Rattus norvegicus: one gene and its partner. The protein of the gene in region 1 interacts with the protein of each later gene in a pairwise test. Links are inferred from orthologs where the notes say so. Each region holds a gene or a part of one and is shown in the gene's direction. Other genes may lie near its edges.

Region 1 (8,795 bases):
AATTAAAGCACTTATATGTGGCTAATGGAATGTAAAATGGTTCAGCCACTCTAGGAAAGATCTGTAGCTTCTTGTAAAGCTAACACACACTTACTATAAGCTCCAGATATTGCACTGTTGTACATTTAACTCAAAGAAATGTAAATCTGTTTACGTACACACAGACAAATGTTTAAAGAAAAAAAAAAAAAAAGGAGCTAGCCCGGCAGTTTTAGCCGATGTCAGTTCAGTTCCCAGCACCCACACCAGGTGGCACACAACCACCTCTGTAACTCCAGTTCCAGGGAACGCAACTCTCTTCTGGCATCCAAAAGACAGCACATATGTGGAGTACACACCGAGAGATAAACCCACATACACTTTGAGGGAAAGTTAGAAAGACGGTACTGCTCAGAGACAAACATCTGGACAAGAAATAAGAAAAATAGGGGAGCTCAGGGGTTTTAATTAAAACAACAACAAGGAAGCAGCCTATGTAGACTCATACCCACCCCTCAGACTCTCACCTCCCACTTTCCCCTCCTAGTCCCAAGGAAAGAACCTGTGACCCTGCCTCCTTCCAGCTTTTCCTATATTTTAGTCTTTTGTCCTTCGTGGGCAGCCAGTCCCTTGCTTTTCCCCCAAAATGAACTCAGCTAACACCAGGATCCCTGTTACAACATGAGCAAACAGAAGCAGAAAAGAACGTTAAGCATTTTTAAAGAATGACGCAGAAAAAGAGTTTTTTGATAAGATAAAACACGCAAAAACGCGTATGCTCCGGGTTCTTGTCAAATGATAAAAACATGACTCTTTGATCAAGCAGGGATTTCAACAGCACGGTAACAATGCACCTCTGATAGAACTGAAAGACGAATGTGGAGTATTAAGCCAAAGAGTGCAATGTAAAATATTTTCCACATGCATACTATCTAATTTATGTAAGAAGCTGTGTGCCTGTGCTTAAAAATGCTATATGAAAAGGTAGTATAAAAGCCTTAGCCACTGGTTCAAGGTGGTGAGGATTCAAAAATGATTACTTAACTTCAATAGCATTTAGATAACATTTCCAATCGTCAGTGATGCTTATAAACTGTTTCCATAGTAAATTATGTCTTTGTATATGACAAAAAAATAAGTGAATTTATCGGGCAAAAAAAATTTCCACTCAGGCTCCTCGTTTTAGCAATGGGGTAGATTGTGTGATTCATTCATTTATCAAACAATCTTTATTGAGAATATAAAATGTACTAGGCATTGTTCATCGTGCTGAAGGTACAACAATGAATAAATTAGGCAAACTCCACATCCCTAAAGGAGTTCCCAATCTCATGTGACAAAAAGAACAAAACTAAAGGAAACAGTGGTGAGGAGGATATGTGTGTGTGCCTGCGTGTGTGTGTGTGTGTGTGTGTGTGTGTGTGTGTGTGTATAAATTTGGAAATAATTTTGAGAATATCAAAAATATCCACCTGGAGAAGGGAGTGGGCAGCAGGGTACGAGTCTACGCGGTATAGGCTGGCCCATGACTGAAGATACAGACACAGAAGGAAGCAGATGATACATAAAATGGCACCTCAGACCTCCTTTCCCGAGTCTGATCACGTCCCACTGCAGACACTTTACAGAGGAAGTGCTGAGGAAAAACAGGCAGCTGACAGGGGAGGTTGCTATGCAACAGATGAGGGAAGTCATCCAGCCTGGCAGAATTGATGTTGGCCCTTGGGGACAGAATGCTGCGGTCCTTCCTAGCATTAGCTTGCTTTCATATGCAGGCTCCTGTCAGGAGCTGACGCCAGAATAAATGGGAAATGCGCTCAGATCTGCCTGGGGTTTCGGGAACGTATGGGTTTGGTTTGAGTCACCACATCTGTATGCCATTTTTCTGCGTTTGTTTCTCCAGCCATGTTGGCACAGCAGACTGTGTGTCCTTGGACACGACTCTCTTCCTGGGATTCCTATTTTGTGTAGTGAGTAAATTAGGCTCAGAGAGGTCCACTAAAGTGACCATGTCTCAGGGGCTCACACAGCCAGAGACAGATAGGCCAGACACTCATCTTGGAATTCTAAAGCCAAGCCCAGCTTCATTCCGCAAGAACAGGGCAGACACACCTGACTACCCTGGCTGCTCCAGCAGGCACCAAAAAAGCCCGCCGTCTCACTCCTGGAGACTGCCTGCCAAGAGGAGCACAGAGTGAACCTGAAGGGTTCCCACATACACCAGGCCTCCTAGAACACAAGCCTCATTCCCTTGGAACAAATATTGGGGAGAGGAAAGCTTGTTATTCCAATAGAGGATTAAGGAATGCCTCTATTCTCAGAGCAGATTTTCAGTCAGGATCATCCAGGCCCCACATGGATGTTTGTTTGTCTTTTAGATAAAGTCTCAGAGTTGCAAAGCTGGCCTAGAACTCGGTCTCCGGAGTGCTGGGATTACCAGTGTGTTTAAGCAAATATTGTCTTTTCTGTTTGTTACTAGCTCAATGCCCTGGTCCATACAGCGGGTTTACGTTTTAGCTACCTGACGTGTTAAATGAGAATGTTGACCTCCATCCATCTCCTGAGGCTGCCTGTGAGAAAACCAAGCTCCAGGACAGAGCCCACTGCCCTACGCCCTTCCCTCACCTCTCGGACCCACCCCTCACGAAATATTTCTTTGGCAAAAACTGCAAAAAGGGCGAGAGAAACGCTAATTTTCTGAGTCTCGTGAGAGGAAACCTATAGAATCCCCAGGCTGACCCTTGCCCTGGTAGCTCTGTCACGTTTTGTTTTTGTTTTTTTTTTTTTTTTTGCCCCTGCCTTTAAGGTTTCTGCATTGCAAAGTGCGTGAACTCAGCAGAGGCCTAGTTTGTGTCGAAATAAGAGACCCCCCGCAGAGGCCTACCTAAGAGGCTCTAAGCAAGTGGGTGGGAGGTAGTTGCGGACCTGGCTAGAGAGAGTTCGGGAAAAAGGGCGGGACTGAGAAGAGACGCATTGCGGATAAAGGTAGGGGGCTGGTGTGTTGGGCAAGGGGGTGGGACCAAAAGGCGCTGCGCATCTGTTGAAGGAGTGGATGCGTAAGGAGAAGGGGAGGAGGAACCTTTGTACACTGTCAACCTGGTTGGCGGTGGGATAGTGTGCTGGCAAAGAGGCGGGATCTCCTCCAAGTGCACATGCGCGACAAGGTCTCCAGGATGAAGCTTTTGTTGGGAAAGCAAGCGGGACTCTTATTTGGACAGTGATCTGTTGCGCATGCGCGGGGCTTCCTGAGGCGGTGGGTGGTATATTAGGCGAAGAGGCGGGGTCGCCCGAGCTGCCGCGCTGGCATTTTCTCCTGGACAAGGAGAGAGTGCGGGTGCAGAGAGCGGAGCAGAGCAGTCCCGATCCTCTGAGTCGTGAAGAAGGAAGCAACGAAGGGGGTTGGGGTTGGGGCCTGAGGCAAGGTGAGACCCGCCCCCGGACTGGGCATCTGCCCCCCTGGTGTGGCGCCCTTCCCCCATTCTTTTATCCCAATCCCCTTTCCCTGAATTCAGAAACCCCCTCCTCTGCCTTACCCCGGACTTACACCTCGCTCCCGACCCTTTCTAATTCGAACTCCCGTTCATTCCCTGAATCTTTATCCAATTCCTTCACTGAATCCTATTTCCCGACCTTGATCCGTTATACGATTCCTCTAGATTCAAAGCCTTAATTCAACTTTACAGACGCGAACCTCTCCCCGCTAACCGCCCCCCCCCCCGCCCCTGTAAACTACCGCATTCAGAGCGCTTATCTGATTCCAAACCGCGGATTTGAAGCTTTTACCTGTCAGCTTCTGGAAATTTTAGATTGTCTATCGGGACGACCATTTACTTTTCCCGCTTCAGTTAGGCCTGTTTCTCCCCGTACCCAGCACCTCACCCGCCCCCATAATCAAACCACACGCGCACACACAATTCGGTCCTACGTATTTTCCTTCTGTAGTATAATGCCTAGTTCCTCTCCCACACCCCCCTCAGGCTCTGCTCTTGCCAGAGAGACAAGAGCTATGGCTCAGAAACCGGACGGCGGTGCAGGCCTCCGCGGCTTCCAGGTGAGAACCCCGCTCCCAATTCCTCCATTTTCCTTGCTGACAGATTACGCCCACCCCTGGCCCCTCAGGTCGCGCAAATGGCAGGATCTGATTTTGCCCTTCTTCCGGCCTAGACTCCGCGGGCTCTCAAATTTCTAGCGTTTATCGAATAGGGGGGAGGGGCGGCCCTTTTCAGCCATCGGTCCCTGCTTAGAGAAAGGGGAGACCCTGTTAGTCAGGGCATTCTGCCCAGAGAATGCGGGTTGGGTAAGGAACCATTTTTTTTCCATAACCCTGACGCGTGTAGAGCAGTCTGTCGCCCCATCCCCCAACCTCTCGCCTCCACCCTCCCTTTCTCCACGCCGCGAGACTCCCCCTCCACCCTCCTCTGTTTATCCTCCTCAATTCCTCCGTCCTCAGGTCTTGAGCTCCCCACGGCAAGCCTCACGAGTCTGTCTCTAAACCCATTCGGGGTTCAGTGCTTGCACCACATTCCGCACCAGCCCCTGCTGCCTCCGACTGTCCCTCACCTTGCCCTGCCCCCTCTACCTTTAATTAAATTTTGTTCCCGCCCCGCCTCCCTTTGACCCGCCTCTGCCCCCATGTCTGAGTACTGTAACGCCTGTCTACAGTTCCCCTGCTGCGTTGCGCCGTGCCCCTCCTTCAGGTCTGGCTTGTAAGGCCCAGAGATTAAAATTTCCCCCTCCTGTATTTGCAGGCAGAGGCCTCTGTAGAAGACAGCGCCTTGCTTGTGCAGACCTTGATGGAAGCCATCCAGATCTCCGAGGCTCCGCCCACCAGCCAGGCCACAGCAGCTGCCAGTGGGCCGAATGCTAGTCCCCAGAGTTCACAGCCCCCAACTGCCAATGAGAAGGCTGATACTGAGGTTTCAGCAGCTGCTGCCAGGCCTAAGACAGGCTTTAAGGCCCAGAATACCACCACAAAGGGGCCAAATGATTACTCTCAGGCACGTAATGCCAAGGAGATGCCCAAGAATCAGCCTAAGGTGGCCTTTAAGTCACAGAATGCCACCTCTAAAGGTCCACATGCTGCCTCTGATTTTTCCCATGCAGCATCCACAGGCAAATCAGCAGCTAAAAAGTCTGAAATGGCCTTTAAGGGTCAGAATACCACTACTAAGGCTGGCCCCAGTGCCACCTACAATTTCACTCAGTCTCCCAGTGCCAATGAGATGACCAACAACCAGCCTAAGACAGCTAAGGCTTGGAATGACACCACTAAGATCCCTGGAGCTGATGCCCAGACCCAGAATGTAAACCAGGCCAAAATGGCTGACGTAGGGACCAGTGCAGGTATCTCTGAAACTGACGGTGCAGCAGCCCAGACCTCAGCAGATGGCTCCCAGGCTCAGAATGTGGAGTCCCGGACTATAATTCGGGGCAAGAGGACCCGCAAGGTGAGATCCCTGCTGGCTTCCCTTTGCTTTGAGGTCTCTCCTTTCTTTGAATTTCCTTTGCTCCAAACAAAATAAAGGGCACATATATATCTCTATTTTGGCAAAGTTGTAGGGGGAGCTGAAATAAATATTTATTCCTGACCCCCGGTTGTCCACAGATTAATGATGAGTTGATACAAGGACACAGGCAGTATGTGTGCAGACCGTCTTACATTTGACAGTAAACACCATGTCTTAAGCTAGGCAGGCTCACCCAGAATTATCATTAGATTTTGAAGATCCACCTCACAAGCAAGAGAGACCACAGTCAGGGAGAAATGAGTTCAGGGTGAAACCAAGCAGTGCACAGGAAAGGGAGAAACCCCGGGCTCCACTTTGTGTTTTTCTTTCTCTGGTTTGGAGATGAAATGCTTTCCTGAAAGACAGTGAGGAACCAAGTGGCTAATGGCTAGTGAGGTATAGGTGAGGATTCCTAGGGACTTCCTAGGATAGCTACTGGGGGTGCCAGGATTAATAGTGACCCTGAAATTTTCTTCTCTCTAATGATACAGATTAATAACTTGAATGTGGAAGAGAACAGCAATGGGGACCAAAGGCGTGCCTCGCTGGCTTCCGGGAACTGGAGGTCTGCTCCGGTTCCAGTAACCACTCAGAACCCACCTGGCGCACCCCCTAATGTGCTGTGGCAGACACCACTGGCTTGGCAGAACCCATCAGGCTGGCAAAACCAGACAGCCAGGCAGACCCCACCAGCACGTCAGAGTCCCCCAGCTAGGCAGACACCATCAGCTTGGCAGAACCCCGTTGCATGGCAGAATCCAGTGATCTGGCCTAACCCAGTGATCTGGCAGAATCCAGTGATCTGGCCAAACCCCATTGTCTGGCCTGGCCCAATTGTCTGGCCAAACCCAATGGCCTGGCAGAGTACACCTGGATGGCAGAGCCCACCCAGTTGGCAGGCTCCACCTAGTTGGCAGAGCCCTCAAGATTGGCAAGGCCCTCCAGATTGGCAGTTACCACCTGACTGGTCAATGCCTCCTGACTGGTCCTTTCCCTCTGACTGGCCTTTTCCACCTGACTGGATCCCTGCCGACTGGCCAATTCCACCCGACTGGCAGAACTTACGACCCTCACCTAATCTGAGATCCTCCCCCAACTCTCGTGCCTCACAGAACCAGGGTCCTCCACAGCCCCGAGATGTGGCCCTTCTTCAGGAAAGAGTAAGTGCTATACCTCTCCACTTTGTTTACTGTGGTCCTTCCATTTGTAATCAACCAAGTGTTCTGCAAACCTAATTTGAATTATTTCCCCCCAGGCAAATAAGCTGGTCAAGTACTTGATGCTTAAAGACTACACGAAGGTGCCCATCAAGCGCTCAGGTAGGCCCTTCTCCTGACCCTGATGTCCTGTCCACTCCCTCCCATAGCTGATTCTACCTCTGAGGAGCCTGACCGGGCTGTCCTTACCAGGCCTGGCCAAGGGGCTGCTACTGTGCTCCAGCTCAGTCCTGGTGCTTCCCTTCTCTCCTACAGAAATGCTGAGAGATATCATCCGAGAATACACTGATGTTTATCCAGAAATCATTGAACGCGCATGCTTTGTCCTGGAGAAGGTAAAGAGCCACACCTGGGAAACTAGAATGACGGTCAAATTCTCCATTGTGTGAGATAACTACTGGAGTTGAGGACAAGGTTCACAGCGCTGTGACTGCCTGCCTATTGGCACGTTATGCTAAGTGCTGTCATTTGCTTGCTTCTGTAGAAATTTGGAATCCAGCTCAAGGAAATCGACAAAGAAGAGCATCTGTATATCCTCATCAGTACCCCTGAATCCCTGGCTGGCATACTGGGAACGTAAGATGGGAAAGGGGATGTGTTATGGCCTTCCTTGGTGATGCTTTTTGCCTAAGAGTTTCAGTATTCAGTCACATAGGAGGTCATGGGCAGAGTGGGGGCATAATGATCTCCACTGAGGAATACTGGAGAAGCTAAATTGGTAAGCTTGTGGGGTTTTTCGTGTAAACAGCTGCTGGGTGTGTATATATCTGTATTCTTTTTGTACTCCTCTAGGACCAAAGACACACCGAAGCTAGGCCTCCTCTTAGTGATTCTGGGCATTATCTTCATGAATGGCAACCGTGCCACTGAGGGTGAGTGACTGGACTTGGAGCTGGGGGTTGGCTGCAGTCTGATTTCCATGCTCACTTTCCATGCCTTCTCTCTTCTTGCCTCCTATTGCAGCCGTCCTCTGGGAAGCACTGCGCAAGATGGGACTACGTCCTGGGTACGACTGGGCTCCTTCATCTGAAGTATCCTTTAGCAGCAGGGGATGTCTTAAATTATGATGAGATTAGATAGGAAGACAGTCTGTAACTCTCTAGTTTTCTTCAGGCAGAATCTCTGATTGTCGTTTTCTTTTTCACCATCAGGGTCAGACATCCCCTCCTTGGCGATCTGAGGAAACTTCTTACTTACGAGTTTGTAAAGCAGAAGTAAGTGGTCCTTAGAATTCTGGCTCTGCTTGGTCTGCATCAGAAAAGGTTCTTTAAACGTGACTTACAGCACTCCTGTAGGTTCACAGAATTATCCAGAAGTGTTTACTGAAGACACGCTTTGAGGTGGAATGTTTTTACAGCATAGTTATTAGTAAAGCCTGTCCTCTTTTCTCATAGTACACATTCTCAGGAAAGAGTAGTAGTCCAAGATGATAAAAACCTGAAGCAGCAACTTTAGCACAGTATTATTTAGCATGTATTTTGTTGCAGACTGCCCATAAACACAGACTTTTTCCTCTTCAGATACCTGGACTACAGACGAGTGCCCAACAGCAACCCTCCTGAGTATGAGTTCCTCTGGGGCCTCCGCTCCTACCATGAGACTAGCAAGATGAAAGTGCTGAGATTCATTGCAGAGGTAATAGCGGAATCCATGGTAGCTTAATCGGGTTCAGTCCCCAGAACCTGCGTAAAAAGCTGGGAGGGAGGGGATGGTGCGTGTTTGCAGTCCAGTGCTGGGAGGTGGAAATAGGGGCTCACAGGGGCTCATGGGCTCACACTGGAGCCTGCTTGTTAAGAAACACTGTCTCAGATAATAAGGAGGATAGTACCTGAGGAACAACAAACAAGGTTGCCTTCTGTCCTTCCACATACTTGCACATGTATGTGCACACACATAGTAACACACAAGAAAAAGCAGTTTACAGATATACAGTAGTCATTACCTTATAGACATTCTGCTGCATAATAGATACAGAGCTTAATCATTACACCGAACTCAAGTTCATACACTTTGATGAATATGTCCCTATTCTTCATCCCACGTAAGCTAACCCTGGCAACCACCATTCTAGTCTATGCCCGTGAGTCTAGTT
Region 2 (7,220 bases), on another chromosome or scaffold:
GCATCCTTATTTAGAAAGGGCTCTCAATCTAATGGCCAATGTCTTGGTAAGAAGGAAAAGCTAGAGTAGACTTGAGTGAGCCTCCCAAGGAAGATGGTCATGTGAAGACAGGAGCACATAGGGATCTCAAAGCCCCAAACCAAGAAGCTGGAAGAGGTAAACAAAGAAGAAACTGGGTTCTCCGGATACCTCTGTTCCAGATTTTCATCCTCATTGCAATGGTATGAGAAAGTCCTGTTGTTTAAGCCACTAAACTTGTGACAATCCAATCAGGGACAAACCCAGAGATCATGTTGTTCGTGATAGTACGGCAGCTCATAAACCAAGGAGGGGCATTCGCTGATGGTTTCAGAGCTTTTGACCCTTGGTCATTGGCGCACAGCACACTGTGGAGAGGTACAGAGAAGGGCCGTGCATTCGATGGTAGCAGTATGAAGAAACAAGGAGCAGGTTAAGGTGTAATGATGCCAGTGACTTCACTTCCTTCCATGGCACTTCACCTTTCCGGGTGCTGCTCACTCCCAAACACAAAACGGTTACTTAGCAAGCCTGTAGCTCACCCATGCAGATGACATACCAAATCTAAACCCTAGCAGTCATAGAAAAGCACAGGACTGTCCCCGGTATGCTTTCCCTGAAGATTCTAAGAGACACGTGTAGAAAAGGCCCACTTAGGCCCCAAACAAAGTTGGAAGTACTCTTGTCAGTATATATGGTGGCCACTCCTTGATCTGAAGTGATAGCCACTTGTACCTACCCTCACATTTTGATCCTTGTCCTAAGCCTGGAGGGCATGGACTATCATTGTACTCTCATAGATGAGTAAACACTGGCACAGAGATGTAAAGGGCCCTGATCTGAATTATCCATTGGTTACAGTAGGATTGCATATTGCAGGGAGCAACTCCATAGCCCTGGTTGCCACGTAACTCATCACCTTGGGCACAGGCATGCTCGGCTTGGAATGCTCTCCTTTGCTTCTCTCTCTCATCCCATAGAGGCTCTATTCACTCCTTCTCACCAACCTATACAAATTTGGATTTCATTTTACTTATTTTCAGTAAAAAAAATTATTTCTGCCATAGGTATGCCTATATAACAATTTATGGGTATTTGTATAAATGTGTACACTACAAAATGATTAATCAAGCATTGTATGTTTTTATCAAAGGAAACACCACAAAGATTTCTCCAAAGTCCTGTTTGACTAGAGATGATTAATTTTAATTTTTACATGAGCAGCATAATGCTATTAATCATTTAATATGTTTAATCATAATCTCTGTAATTCCTAATTAGGTTTATTAAACTGAGCCATTCAGCAATTGTGCACAAATCCAAGTCTAAGTCCCTTTCCTGGGAGGAGGAGAAACTCATTTTAATTTTTTATTCACATAGCAATTTCCAATAGGGTGGGGAAAGTAGATTGGAAACGTGGGATCTTAGCTATTGATCGTGCCAACTTAGGGTCTTGTGGTAGGGCATTGAAACCTCTTAGTCTTTGGCAAGGTAGTAACATCATGGTTTAAAGGTGATTTTTTTTGTCATTGATGTGGAACCCAATGTGCTGTTACTAGGAAAAACAAAAAACAAAAGCAAAACACAGTGAATAGTCTGTGTGGGTCTCTGGGTTATGGAATGATGGTGTGTGTGTGTGTGTGTGTGTGTGTGTGTGTGTGTATCATGCCATGATGTGCATGTGGAGATCGAAGGGCAGCTTCAAGTGTCAGATCATCTCTTGTTTGAGAAAGTCTCTCCTTATTGCTGTACAAACAAGACCAGCTGCCTGTGCACTTTCAAGAATAGTGCTGTATCCACCACCTATTTCACTGTAGGAATGCTGAGATCACATGCATGAACCACCATGCCCAGTTTTATGCAGGTTCTAGGAACACAAACTCAAGCCTCATGATTGTACGGCAAGCACGTCACCAAGTGGACCTCCGCCAGCCTCCATAGCTATTCATTAACTGGCACTCAAAGCTGACACCGGTGATGCTCGCCCCTGTATTTATTATTCATTTATTAGTGGTGCACCAATCTTTCATACTCTCAGTCTGTCACCGCATCAGCCAATCACTCAACATGCATTTAACATCTACGTAGCATGCCGGTCACAACTCAGTCCTCTTGTCATCTTTAAGTGGCTTCTAACAGCCACTTGCTTTTGTATACAAGGCTATTTTAGGTCTACAACTTCTACCTGCCTCTCAAGTTGCCTCTCTGCCCATCCTCTGTTTATTCTCTCTGGCTCTACATGGCCTCCCCAAGGTGGCAGACTTCTCCTTCCTTCTTTCTTTCTTCACACATGCATTGCCCTCTTCTGGCACAGAATCTGTCCCCTCCACCTCTCCTCGTACACATCTCTACTAAGCTAGAGTTGATGTGTCCTGGGACCTCCAGTGGCAAGTGCGACTTGAGCGTACTCAGCTTGCACCCCCACAATGTACTGCCTGCATTATATTTGGTTTTGTTTTCCTAACTCTTCCCACATCCTCTTCACATCTCAAGCAAAATAACATGGCTGTCAGGGTCGCCTTGTACTTGAAAATTGACAAAGGCGTCTGGTAGGGTTTCAGAGACCAAATCGGTTTAGATGGGTGGTGCACAAGGTGCCAGGAGGGCTCAACTTAAACATGTAATTCAGGGTGCAAGGGGAAGGAGGACGCCAATAAACTATTCTAGCCCACAGGAGAGCTGCAGAGAGACTGCTAATTATGCTCCTGTTATTTGGGTGTTCCTTTCACATTTCACTATGTAAGATTGTCTCCTCTAAGTCTCTATTATTTTACACCTGGCTGCCTGCACTGATAGTTTTTGTCCTAGTTATATGCCTCTAAATTGCTCATAAATAGATGAGGATGATTCCTTGCTCGTGAATTTCAGCTTTGGCAAAGACCCTCCAACAGTAGTTTTAAAGACATACTTAAGTGAACTGTGTCTACTGCCACCTACAGGCAGAATGTGCTAATTGCAGAGAAAGTACAGAAAAACAAAGTTCCCTAACCTTTCTTTTTTTTCTTTTTTTTTTTTTTTGGTTCTTTTTTTCGGAGCTGGGGACCTAACCCAGGACCTTGCGCTTCCTAGGCAAGCGCTCTACCACTGAGCTAAATCCCCAGCCCCTCCCTAACCTTTCTGAATGACGAACAGAAAGAAATAGCGGGCCAAGCTAGTAGCCTTACATCATCTGCATCGGCATAGCCTAGCAGAGCATTTGTACAGATGGCAATATTCTGTTTTTGCGTTTTTTTCTCCCAAACACAGGCACTACCTACGTGTGGCTACTGAGCATTTCAAATGCAAGAAATGCAAACTCCTTTATGCGTTATTTTGTGTCCATTCCTTGAAATGATCTCATAGGGTCCGTGGCAGTAGACAATATAGATTCGTACAATGAAGAAGCTAAGTTAACAAATATTTTTATAAAGTTGAGTGAATCATCTATTCACTGGATGAAGTACAGACCACCAAAGGGCCTTTGCAAATTTTTGACATTTATTAATATTTTACCTGTACAGCCTCAGTATTTTTGTATGCGTAGCATTAAGACTCTGGCCAGCACTGAGGGATACATGTTCTCATTTTTAATGATCTTTACTCCCTTTTTGATGAGTTTTCCACTACCCACCCTGAACCCCCAGCCCCTCATGCTTCCTTTATTTTTCCTACAATGCTTATCTCCTTCTTCCCAATTCTATATCTATTTATGAACGGTTTTTATCGTGCCTTGCCCCATGATCGTTGCACTGCATGACGCCAGGGGCTTTTGACTGCTTTGATTGATATGTAATCAAAGATTCATGTGTGGGCACTCAGTGGATGCTCAAAACAAACTCTTTTTTTGCTGTTAATTAAAATTTTAGAAAAAGGACCAAAAATCTCTGTCGGATAGCATCCTGCCATGTAGGAGAAAGGAGCAGGCTGTGGGAGCGAGCGCTTACGGACCGCATCCTGCCCTAAACGGGATGGGAGAGGATATTGGGACTTACTCAGCAACTTTTCTTTCTTCTTGTTCTTTTAGCAGACAGATGATGCCGCCCCGACCGACGGCCAGCCCCAGACACAACCTTCTGAAAACACAGAAAACAAGTCCCAGCCCAAGCGGCTGCATGTGTCCAACATCCCCTTCCGGTTCCGGGATCCAGACCTCCGACAAATGTTTGGCGTAAGTACTACCTTCATCCTCGGGTTTCCTCCTTGTGGGAGTTCTGAGAACTTATCATTCTAAGGTAGAATGTTGTTATGGGGTGAAGGCATTTTACATCTAAGTCCTGAGTTTAGAGTGGGAGGTCCCCTTAGGGGTGGCAGGATATGTTTATTTGTTTTAGTTGAGCTCATGGGGTTTCTGCTTTGACAATTGCTCGTCTTCTAATAAGTAACTTAAATGTCAAGCAGAAAATAGGCTCATCTATTAAGGATGATAAGGTCTATTGATGATCCCAAATCCAGCAGCCCAGGACCTCACTTTATAACTAAAATAAATGTTGAAGCCCTTTCCTGCTTACCCAGGAAAAGTAACCCAGGAGCGACTCTCTCCCAATTGTCCCCCAGGCACTGTACTGCAGCTGTGGTGAATGGCTAGTTCAGCATAAAGCTAGGTTTTCAAAATCAGCCACCCCCACCAACAACAAAACTACCAGTTTCTAAATCTGATTTGATTTTTGCATCATACCGTTTCCTGGATGAAACATCAAGGGTATTTAGTATGCAGCAAAGGGCAGCCTGGTCTAGGCACCATAGTGAAACAGAACTAGCCAGAAGCCACTGTTTACCCCAAGGAAATACATGACTGACGACTTTGCTTTCTCACAGGTCATCATGACCCTGAATATTTTTCTAGAAGATGTTTGAACAATCTACCCAGGGAAGGGAAGAGTTTATTATTTATTTAGTCTCTGCTGTGGCAAAGGACAAAGCTTTGACAAGGCTCAGATAATGTTTTGTGTTTCGAAATGTAGTCCTTCTGTTTATCCATGACATCCCAGTAGTGGTCATAAGCATCTGTGCCTTCAACCAAAGAACTACATCCTTAACATTTGACTCAGAACAAAGGTGGGCTGCCTGGAGACTCCTCTAAGAGTTTGTGGAGAGCTCTATGGCAAAAACAATAAAGAGGCCATGTCCATTGTGAGCAAAGTTCATATGATTCTCTGCATGAACAGGAAGCCCTGGTCTATAACTCAGGAGCTTCATGATTTGGGGAGATGAGCTTGGATCTTTTGTTTTTATTTCATTAACACACACACACACACACACACACACACACACACACACACACACACACACTGCTTATCAAGTATGCGTGTGACACAAAAGCAGAGCAGGCATCCTAATATTTAAGAGACCCAGGCTTGAGTCCTGACATTTCAGAGGAAAAGGTCAACTTTTGCACTTTTATCGCTCTCTCATTTAGTAATAACCTTGAGTTAAGCCCTCTAACTCTTGCAGAACGAAGATACCCTCGGGCACTCTCAGGTCAAAGATGACTTTGAAAAATGCAGAGCATTCGAAGTTAGAGTCGAGGTTAAGTGTGTGCAAAGCAGTGGGACCAGCTTGACTGATGGGTAGCTGCAGGAGTTATATTCTCTTTGCCATGTCAAGCCAGAGGGATGTCTTGCTATCCGGTCTGTCTTTATTCATCAAGTGTCACTGTGATGCTGGCTTTGAACTGTATCCTCTTAATGGCCACTCTCGAAATTCTTCATGGTGACATGCCAGGCAGCTAACCCCAGTTTCTCACCCTTAAGGGTCTATTTTCTTGCCTGGACTTTTTTGATTATCTTGAACTTTACCTGAGGCTACAGGGATAAGTCAGAGATGTCATCAAAATACTCACAGCTGGAAGTCATACAGAGGAGATGCTGCAAGTGTTAATGTCTGAATCTCTTTGTCCTTTAGGGTTAGGACAGATGGCCCAGAGGGAAAAAAAATCTGTCATGTGACATGCTACCTGGTCCAGATCCAGATCAAAATCTATTTGTTTCAAAAACAAGGGTTTTTTCTTCTTCTTCTTTTGAGTCAAAATTCTCATGCAGCTAGCTAACAAGATGTTCATTTGCTCTGATGATAGATATACCCTTAGCATCTGTCAGTTAAGGGAGTGCGGTATACGTTTATGAACACTGAAATTAATTCTACTTATCACAAACAACATCTGTGTCTATGTTAAAGAGTATGTGTGGAGTTTGTGTGGTGTGGGTTTCATCTATAAAAATCACTGGGCCATATGGTTTCTGGACCACTTGCAGTAGCTTGGGAGTCCTCTTTCAATTTTACAACTGCTATTTTAAAGAAATGGAATTTTCCTAACATGAATATGGGTGGTCACAAAGCCGTTCTATAATATGATACATTTAGCAGCATGAATCACACTGAGAGGCATCTGGAACATTCTGCTTGGCTCTCCATGGTGCAGTTTAGGGGACTCAACACAGTTTCCTCTTTCAGATCTTAGTTACTGTAAGCATCCATGGTTTAGTCCCAGTGAGCTTCCTCTGGCCATGAGACAGTGTCTCTCTTTTGCTTGCTATCTTTTGTTTTCTGCTCTCCTTGCTAGGGCAGGGTTGAGGATAATTAGAAAAAACTGCAATGATCCTTGTGCTTCCTGCCCCCATTGACTCTGTTGGTCCAAGGAAACACAGAAATTTCAATGTCAAAAACATAACAAGACACAAAGAACCCTCTTTCGAATTGCCTAGGACTTGGCTGTGCCCAGCTTCTCCCAGTGCAGAAACTCTCCCCTATGTTTTGCACAACAGTCACTTGCCTAATGGTTTCTACAGGTATCTCTTGGTTCAGTATGTGCTTTCTGGGCCTCTCCAGTGAGATTGGTATCAGAGGTGATTCTCTTCATTGCTCTTTTCCCCTTGTTCACCGCCATCTTTGTCAGGGAGGGGTACTTCTTCTGAGGTTGCCCTTACATTGTGCTTCACGTTACATTTCCTGGCACGCTGGTATATTCATTCCTTGGGGGAAATGGATGTGTTACAAGGTATAAGATAGTGTCTCAAGTAATTTCATATCATCCATAGCGGTATGAGTGGATGGGGCTAGTGTGGTTGTTCAGATCACTTGTTCTAGATGTTTCTGTGGGATCACTAAGTGACCTCAGGCCTCACTGTGAGTCTCTTGAGGTCTGCTGGAGCACATCCCTTCACATTTGCTTTCTTTCATTTGTTCTGCTTTATTTTGCTGGTTTTGGAGGTGAACTCTGACTCTGG

Evidence for each region. The genes of interacting proteins can lie anywhere in the genome.
Region 2: the proteins of Maged1 (region 1) and Rbfox1 interact in a two-hybrid assay, tested with the Homo sapiens proteins (2 studies listed by BioGRID and IntAct). The link is inferred for Rattus norvegicus from reciprocal best matches to the Homo sapiens genes MAGED1 and RBFOX1.

What each region holds. Positions count from the first base shown.
Region 1 is NC_086039.1:63,417,491-63,426,285, reverse strand, and holds the start of Maged1 (melanoma-associated antigen D1), read left to right. Parts: upstream 1-3,300; 5' UTR 3,301-3,401; intron 3,402-3,956; 5' UTR 3,957-3,985; coding exon 3,986-4,030; intron 4,031-4,727; coding exon 4,728-5,426; intron 5,427-5,977; coding exon 5,978-6,646; coding exon of another isoform or gene 6,647-6,677; intron 6,678-6,741; coding exon 6,742-6,805; intron 6,806-6,931; coding exon of another isoform or gene 6,932-6,958; coding exon 6,959-7,038; intron 7,039-7,187; coding exon 7,188-7,279; intron 7,280-7,495; coding exon 7,496-7,575; intron 7,576-7,666; coding exon 7,667-7,709; intron 7,710-7,854; coding exon 7,855-7,917; intron 7,918-8,223; coding exon 8,224-8,338; intron 8,339-8,795. UniProt on the Homo sapiens protein: Involved in the apoptotic response after nerve growth factor (NGF) binding in neuronal cells. Inhibits cell cycle progression, and facilitates NGFR-mediated apoptosis. May act as a regulator of the function of DLX family members.
Region 2 is NC_086028.1:8,785,141-8,792,360, reverse strand, and holds part of Rbfox1 (RNA binding protein fox-1 homolog 1), read left to right. Parts: intron 1-4,021; coding exon 4,022-4,165; intron 4,166-7,220. UniProt on the Homo sapiens protein: RNA-binding protein that regulates alternative splicing events by binding to 5'-UGCAUGU-3' elements. Regulates alternative splicing of tissue-specific exons and of differentially spliced exons during erythropoiesis.